Linked DNA regions of Nothobranchius furzeri. The protein of the gene in region 2 purifies or fractionates together with the protein of the main gene of each other region. This does not show direct contact. Links are inferred from orthologs where the notes say so. Each region holds a gene or a part of one and is shown on either strand. Other genes may lie near its edges. The genes, in order: erlin2; inositol 1,4,5-trisphosphate-gated calcium channel ITPR1.

Region 1 (3,817 bases), on a different chromosome or scaffold from region 2:
AATATCTAGGGCTGCAGAAGTCTTAATGGAGCTCCCTGCAGAGCCAGAGTCCACAAACATTTGAGGAATGTCATTCCCAAAATAGATCTTGCTGTTAGCAGCAATGGCCTTGTACTTCATCAGCTGCAGGTACTCTGGAGTTAATTTCAGCTGGAAGAGAAAGAAGAGATGATAAAACAGGGTTGTGACACCAGAGGGAGCTGCAGGCGTTGCCCTCTACCTTGTTGGCCTCGGCGGCTCTCTGAGACGTGTAGAACTCTGCATCTGCCTTAGCTTTCTGTCGGGCCAGGAACGCGTCGTCTGTAGATCACAAACAAACATCAGTGGCTTCATTTCACAGCCAGAAGCTCCCCTTCACATCACAAGTCTGTCAGGTGTGTATGTTTGCTGCCTCCTTGGTAACCACAAGTGGAGGACAGCCGGGTGGAACAAACGGGTGGAGCTGATAACGGCACCGGGGACCTCGTCGGTGAGGCTCCTTCACAGGGTCCAAATCAGCTGTTAGTCTCATGAAGCAGGAAACAAAGCATCCACGTCTGAGAACAACACAAACCTGGATGTAGAAGAAGTGTCAGCAGAGACTCGTTAAGAGACCTTATCGGAGATCATTAAAGTAACGCTAAATGTTTTTTTTTTTACTTTAAGCTAGAGCTTTAAAGTTGATATCAGTGAGTTGAAAACTTGATCAGTGTTTATTTGACAGCCCTCTGCTGACAATAAAACAGGACTTGACAGTTTTGTGGAGCAGGTAGGTGCCCTAGGGTGTGCTCTTTACCTGCGTAAGGGCTGTTAGCTAGTTTCCGTGCCAGTAGCTAACCAAAGGCTAGCAGTTAGCCTCTTCAGTTTGTCGACTGTCAATAAAAAACAATAGGATGCATTGAACTATCCATGTTTCACCCTGTACCATGAGAGCGGGGGGGGGGGGGGGGGGGGGGGTTGTTGATTCTTCTGCATGAGATATTGTTGAAGTCCCATTAGTTGTCACACACCCTGATGGTTGTGCAAAATTTGCTTTCTGCATTTGACCCCTCCCCGGGAGGAAATGGTGAGTTGCAGCTGTGGCCGCGCTCGGAACCATTTATTGGTTTAACCCCCCAATCCAACCTATTAATGCCGAGTGTCAAGCGGAGAGTCTTTGGTACGACCTGACCAGGATTTGAACCCCAGACTCAGGGCAGACACTCGTACTCTCACGCTCAATGTGTGACAGTTGGCAGCCCTGCATTCACCCATTCACACGCTGGTGATGATGAGCTACGATGCAGCCACAGCTGCCCTGGGGCACACTGACAGAGGCGAGGCCTGCCGAACACTGGGGTCACCAGTCCCTCCGACCACCACCAGCAGGCAAGGCGGGTTACATGTCTTGCCCAAGGACACAACAGCAATATTCTCTGATCAGAGCCGGGGTCGGACCTGCAACCTTCTGATTACTGGACAACCCGCTCAACCTCCTGAGCAACTGAAAAAAACGTTTTCTTTGTTGTTGGCATCATGGCGGCGCCAGGAAGTAAGAGCCAGAGAATTATGTCTTTGAGCGTGAAGCAGAGATAAAACCAGAGTCGAAATCCGCACAGCCTACGATCATCTGAGGAAGCTAAAGGACGATATGAAATCACGGACTGATGGAGACTAGGGTTGTGAATGATAAACCGATGCCACCGGATATTCGGTTCAACAAGTGAGAGATACGGCTGCATCAGTAGTAGCCTCCTCAGCCGATAGAAATCAGCCGTGAATTCCTAGATGGTTGCAGAATCATGGATCGGGTATCGCACGACTTTGAATCTCCAACGCTCCGCCTGTGAGAGTAAAGCCTTATTTATACCTCTCTGTCTGCATGGGTGTGGAGACACACAAGGCCTTTATGCGTTGGTGCAAGGGCTCTCCGATGGGCTCCCAGTGGTTGAGAGAGACACGCCAACTTTTTAACTACCCTTCAAAAGTGGCAGAGATGGTGATTGGTCAGGACGCCGCTTCCTTAAACTATCACCAGCAGCACCATTGCCCCCTCAAAAAAGTAAAACGAGAACCTAAGATATATAGTGGCAAAAGAAGAAAATTGAACGACACCTTGCAGAAAAAAAAATGAAAATAAGAATGTTAATTCAACCGTGACTGAAGGAGTACAATGATACTCAGCCAGCGTTTTATTCGTGGACGGAAATGACGAGAAACGTGGGCTCAGAGATGACGACTGCATGAAGAGGTGGAAGAGAATGTAGGACAAATTCATCTGTGTTATAAAGTGTCTGAAATACAAAAACAGTAAACACACTATGTTGGACCAGATACCCCAGAAAGGTATTACGCCCCCTGCTGTCCTGGTGGGGAATTGCTTTGCAACACTATCCAGGAGATGGGAGGTCTTAAGGAAAAACATCTCCGTCAAGGTGTGTGCACAACGACACACTCTGATGGAGAGATATGAACCAGCCCTAAGGCTTCTGTTGGCGCTCAGACATAAATTCAGATTGCTTTACAGCAGGACGGGGTAGGGTGGGGGAGTAAAACTCGGTCACGTCTCCTCCATCAACGACACAAACCTTCAATCTCTGAGATCTTCTTTTCGGTTTCCTTCTCCATGACTTTCTGCCCAAACTTGATTTCTGCTACCTGAGCCACTTTTTCAGCCTCTACAAGACAAACAACACACACACGCACACACACACACGCGCTCTTCAGCCTGAGGAGTGTAGGACACAGTCAGCTGGTCCTGATGGTCTATGTGCTTCACCTATCACAGCTTTGATCCTCTCCGTCTCGGCTTCCTTCTCCACAACCTTCTGAGTCTGCTGGGAGATCAGCAGCTTTGTTTTCTCACTCTCCCTGCCAACACACATAGCAGAGGTTATGATTCATGGAGGTTTGGATCCATTATTATTTACAAAGCCTTAGCGCTCCAGCCTCTGAGACCTGTACCGTCATGGAGATATTAATATAAAATCTGGGATTTTACCATTGGACTCTGATTCTAAGGGAAACTACTGAGAAGACTTCCTCTCTCTCTGATCCTATAAATTCACACAGCTGGTATGAAAGTAAGTAATTAATCCAGACCTGAAAGCTGCCAGGGCGTAAATCCTCAGATGTGTGTGTGGAATCTGATCTTTGTTGAAATAACTTTTTACAGGGAGTAGATTCAGCAACGATACCGTCAGGGTGAGGTCAAACCAAACCCAGCAAATCTGCACGTGTAGATAAACCTTTCATAACTTTATAAACAGGCTTAGTCTATGAAACACCAGCTCATCAGTAGCTGTTCTCTAGTATTCGACCAAAACAGGAAAACAACCGTTTCCGCTGGAAAACCAACACACAGGTTTAATTAATGTTGTCTTTAATAATCAGCCACTGGGATGGTGTACGGCCGACCACATCCCTGTTTATGAGATTCTAAATCCCACTGACCAAACAACGACTTTCCTCTGATGAGTTTTATCTGGCAACAACCGCAGCAATGGGAAATCACCCAGATTATCGTGTTACCTTTAGAAGGACCAGGAAATAAATGGTGAGGGAGACCTCTGACCATCACGTTGATCCCTAGTCTGAACTTCAGAGTGTTTTCACGAGAACAAACCAAAGATGACTGTAACAGACGCCGTCTGTTTTGTGGCCACTAGGTGCCCTCAGCGTCCCTGCCTGCTCTCCTGGCTCTAGCTGAGCCAGGTGGAATTGATTTCAGTCAGTGAGGCTCCCTGTTAAAAGGGAGCGTCAGATGATACAGAGGAGGGAAGTTCAGAAGAGAACAAGCAGAAGTGTTTGCTCTCCTCTTTCCCTCCTCCTACTGACGTTAAAGTCTCGCTTTGCTTAC
Region 2 (4,487 bases):
GTGTGTGTGTGTGTGTGTGTGTGTGTGTGTGTGTGTGTGTGTGTGTGTGTGTTTTCATGACTACGTGGGAAGTGTTTGGACTGAAGAAAGGCCACAATATCTTTATAATGACTCAGTGTTTTGTGGGGGTCATTTCGGTTTTTATGAGCCAGCAGGCGGGAGGTCCAGGATGCTGAAACGAGGGCCCTGATTCTGTTACCAGACAAACTGAACAGTTCACCTGGTATGATTACTCTGCAGTTTACACCAAGGCAATCTCACACTCCTTTCTTATGAGCTGGTTTACATCTAAAACACAGGAGGAGGGGGAGGGGCACCAAGTTTAATGAAATCCCAGAGCTGATTTGTTGAGCGTGTGCTGCTGACTATGAGCCCAAGCACAAAGCAACCAACTTTTTATTAATAAGGAAATAAAATAAAAATATATTTCCTGTTTGTCACAGGATGGAACCGTTAATCTTGTGTATCGTTTAATAACGCTGCATTTTTGTTTGGTTGTTTCAAAATGTGCTTGAGTTGCATTGTGGGAAGAACAATAGAAGCAAAAAAACTACAAAGATCAGTTACATTATTCAGCAGGACAAGATCAAAAGAACATTTTAAACACTGTGATGCAAACTGTAAAAAAAATAACTCTTTTGAGAGAATTGAAAACTTAGATTTATTTACTCGTTGTTACTGTTTGTCAAATTTAGACCTGACTGGGCGGTGACTGTAGGAGACAAATGGAGAGCAGGATTCACGAGGGAGTCTCCAAAACCTCATTTTCCTCTTGTGTCCAAGGAATTTTAAACATGTTTAAAAAAAATGCTCATTTTCTCTAACAATAGAATTCGTATGAACACTTCCAGTTCATCTCAATCAAACTGACCTCTAGTTTCTGTGAGTCACGTCAGAAGGTGTGAGAAAAGTGAGACGGCTTAGGAGGGGAGGCAAAATTGTGAATGAAATGAGAACAAATGTAAACAAACTGAAACATTATGGAGACATTTTATGACTAAAAAGTTAAAAAAAAAAAACGTCATAATAACATGATATGTTCCAAGAGACCATGTCATAATTCTAATCAGTGTGATTCCAACAGAAAATGTGCATATTTTTTCACATTTTTGTGTCTTTGTCGGAGGTCACTGTGGTGGTGCTGCAGATAGCCCTGTTGCCCTGCAGAAACATGGTTCAAATCCAGGCTGCAGCACTTTTGAAAGGAGTTAGCAAGTTATCCCCGATGCATGTGTGTGCTTTCTCTGGGGACTTGTTTCCTCCCACATACCAAATAGATGTGTGTTTGCTTAAATGGGAACCCTAGATTGTCCCTTGGTGTGTGTGTGTCAATGGAGGTTTGTCTCTGTGTGTCCCTATGATGGACCTGTCTTACGGATTGTTAAGAAAATCAGTGAGTGAGTGTAACTATCCAACAGCTTTAGCCTAATAAGATCCAGACTTTAGCGACCAGCAGATATTTGCTTATATTTAGTGTTTTGAATGCTAACTGGATCGGATGGGAAACACAACCCAGTACTGCTGGGAATTGGTAAATTCAATACTGCACACAAATTTACCTCACTCAAGCCACGTCTTAGCCCCTAACTGTGCAATTATTGCCCGTTCGTTTTATTTTCTCCAGGATTACGAGCCAATTCAAAATCCAAAGTGCTTTCTGCAGGATGAACCATACAGTTCCAGCTGTTTGATGATCTTTGCAGCATAACACTATTCTGTAACTGTCAAGCACCAGCCGCTTTCATCACACACACACGCGCGCGCGCGCACACACACACACACCAATTAATCAGATGCATTTCTCACTGCATGTATTCAGACTGTGTAACATACCCCAAAGTGTTGATGAAGCCACTGGTGGACCCCTCTGCATACAAGGAGCAGATGTCCCCGATGTGTAAGAAGCTGGACATCTTATCCGACATGTTTGGCACAAACTAGGAAGCACCTACACACAGGAGTAGAGAAGGTAAACTTGACACATTTTGGATTTATAAGACAATTACACAGTTCTAAATAACTCAAAATGTTGCAGAAATGTTGTAGTAAACACTGTAACATCACATTGTGTTACCCAATCCTCGTCGTTCATTTGTTTATGACCCATTTACAGTTCACAGGCTGGACGGACGCTGACAGGACGCGCGGATTTGCATAAAAGCGGCTGGGAATGGAAATGCTCTGCTGATATGTTGTTACCAGGAAGGTTCCTGCACCTGCAGCAGCAGCTCATCACCCCTGCAGCTGACTTGTTGGAGCCAACAGTTACACTTTTGTTCACCTCTATCGCCCCGAGCTTCTTACAAACTGCTGGTGAATCTAAAACTTTACCAAATTAAAAAAAATAATAATTTTAATAATAACAATTCAAAGTTCGGTAAAGAATTGGCAGCTGCTTCAATGAGAACACGAGGAGCGCCGTGACGGTTTACCGAAGCATCAAACATCTTAAAACTTCACTTTTTTAAATCCGTTATTCGGAACCACATTGTCCAAGTTCTTGCTCGTCTTTAAGGCTTACCCGAGAGCATTATAAACGCCCTGGTGTTCAGCTGTGAGCGTCTTCAGACCCATGTAGGGAGATGTAAATATTTTTTTTCTCGGAGATGAGAGAGTCGGAAGAAAGAGAAAGGATGACAGCGGCAGAGTTCGGGATCAACTTTACCTCGGCTGTTGTACCGCTCAGATCAAATACTCGGCTTTCTCCGGACCTTTGGAAAAAACATGACGGTGGTGGTGGTCTCCTCACCGGGTCGAGGGTGAGATTTAGCTGTCGACGGTTGAAATAATCCAGTTTTTGACAGCTTTCCGCGGATGCGTTCACTGAAGCGGGCAGGCAGGCACTGGCTGGTGGAGCTACCTGGCTCGCGGCCAGCTCGTCTTCTTTTTTCTTCTTCTGTGGTATCTGCCGCGTTGGTAGCTGGGAAATGTTGTCCGTGTGTTCTAAACTTAATCTGTACTGAGTTATCACTCTCTTTATGTCTATTTAATCCTCGAAAACGAATACAAATATATACACTTAAGAAAAAGCTTTATTTCCATGCGAATGAAAACACTTTTAAACTTATTTTGTGAAGTAAAATACAATTTTTGGTCTTTTTTGTCATTTAGATTCAAAAAGAATTATCAATATACTTCAAAGCCCTTCAAACGATTACTTTTACTTTTAATGATAAACAACGACAATGTATTTTTTTCTCAGGCAAGAAAGCGTTAACCTCGTTCAGCCAGCTGACTAGTCACGTGACTTTGCGGAAGTCTTACAATAACATGGGTGAATCCTGAGAAGTGGGGGGTTAAGAATGGTGCGGCATTACCCTTTGTTTTTAGTTTTAGTATTTGTGAATGAAGTATTTTGTCTCCAGAGTTCATGCCGGGGGGAGCAGGACTCTCTCCCCGTGGAGGGAGCAGGGGGATGCGGCTGTGGAAAGCTGAAGAGAGCCGCTGATGAGAGCGGGACAGCGACCAAAGACCCAGCCGACAAATACTCCGCAGAGGCGAACGAGAGGACATCCGGGGCCAGTGAAGATGGGAATAAAGTACAAAGTCAGGTATGATGTGGATCCTGTTAAAGAAGAACGTGAACCCTAACAATACCAGATGAGTGAAACTGCCTTCTTTCCAAGCATATTACTCATTAGTAAGAGCTAATTTATGGCTTTACAATAATTCAGTTCATTTAGAGCTCATTTTGTAACCGTTTTGATTTGTCGCAGTTATGAAGGTAAGTAAAGTTTCTGTCTTTGTATAACCAGACAAAGTAATCAGCTTTAACTTTTTATTCGCACAATTTTCAAGTAAAACTTTTGTTTTAATTACTTTTAATGAACTGCATCTAGTATCTTAGGCAGCATTTTATACTTCTTTTCAAAACAGGGTTATATTTATTTCACCTGATTTCCAGTTTTTCGTAGTAATATGTTTGTTCTGGTCTGGATTCTCCGTGGTGCCTCTTCACAATTGAAATGATCTGATTTTAGTTACAAAAAAATGTTTGATTAGGATCATTTTCACAGTCTGAATGAAATGTAGGTTTATTTTTGGGTTACAGATGGTGTTGATACCTGGAGGAGAGTTTCTGATGGGAACTGACAACCCAGGAATCCCTGCAGATGGCGAGGGGCCTCAGAGATCGGTGCACGTTGACCCCTTCTACATGGATGTCCAGGAAGTAACAAACCAGCAGTTCCAGAGCTTTGTTGGTGCCACTGGATATGTCACAGAGGTAGCAGGTCTATTAAACAGGAAGTTCTTATTTTGGATATATTTTTATCATCTCTGCTAATAACATACTTTTCCTCCTGGTTGTAGGCAGAAAAATTCAGAGACTCATTTGTGTTTGAGGGAATTTTGAGCGACTCTGTCAAAAATCAGATTACCCAAGCAGTGAGTATATCTAATCTACACTTCCTTATGCCTTCTCAGCTGAAAGCGCTGAAAACATGTCATCACCTTGGCGAAGGTACTTAGTTTCACACGGCAGCTCT

What was found.
Region 1: the proteins of inositol 1,4,5-trisphosphate-gated calcium channel ITPR1 (region 2) and erlin2 purify together in Homo sapiens (affinity purification with western blotting, with the first as the bait; 4 studies listed by BioGRID). This does not show direct contact. The link is inferred for Nothobranchius furzeri from reciprocal best matches to the Homo sapiens genes ITPR1 and ERLIN2.

What each region holds. Positions count from the first base shown.
Region 1 is NC_091757.1:29,233,171-29,236,987, forward strand, and holds part of erlin2 (erlin-2), read right to left. Parts: intron 2,830-3,817; coding exon 2,738-2,829; intron 2,637-2,737; coding exon 2,547-2,636; intron 301-2,546; coding exon 221-300; intron 151-220; coding exon 1-150. UniProt on the Homo sapiens protein: Component of the ERLIN1/ERLIN2 complex which mediates the endoplasmic reticulum-associated degradation (ERAD) of inositol 1,4,5-trisphosphate receptors (IP3Rs) such as ITPR1.
Region 2 is NC_091743.1:49,795,948-49,800,434, reverse strand, and holds the start of inositol 1,4,5-trisphosphate-gated calcium channel ITPR1, read right to left. Parts: upstream 2,855-4,487; 5' UTR 2,666-2,854; intron 1,949-2,665; 5' UTR 1,926-1,948; coding exon 1,834-1,925; intron 1-1,833. Other genes in the region: sumf1 (formylglycine-generating enzyme), read left to right, coding at 3,303-3,551, 4,052-4,225, 4,312-4,386. UniProt on the Homo sapiens protein: Inositol 1,4,5-trisphosphate-gated calcium channel that, upon inositol 1,4,5-trisphosphate binding, mediates calcium release from the endoplasmic reticulum (ER).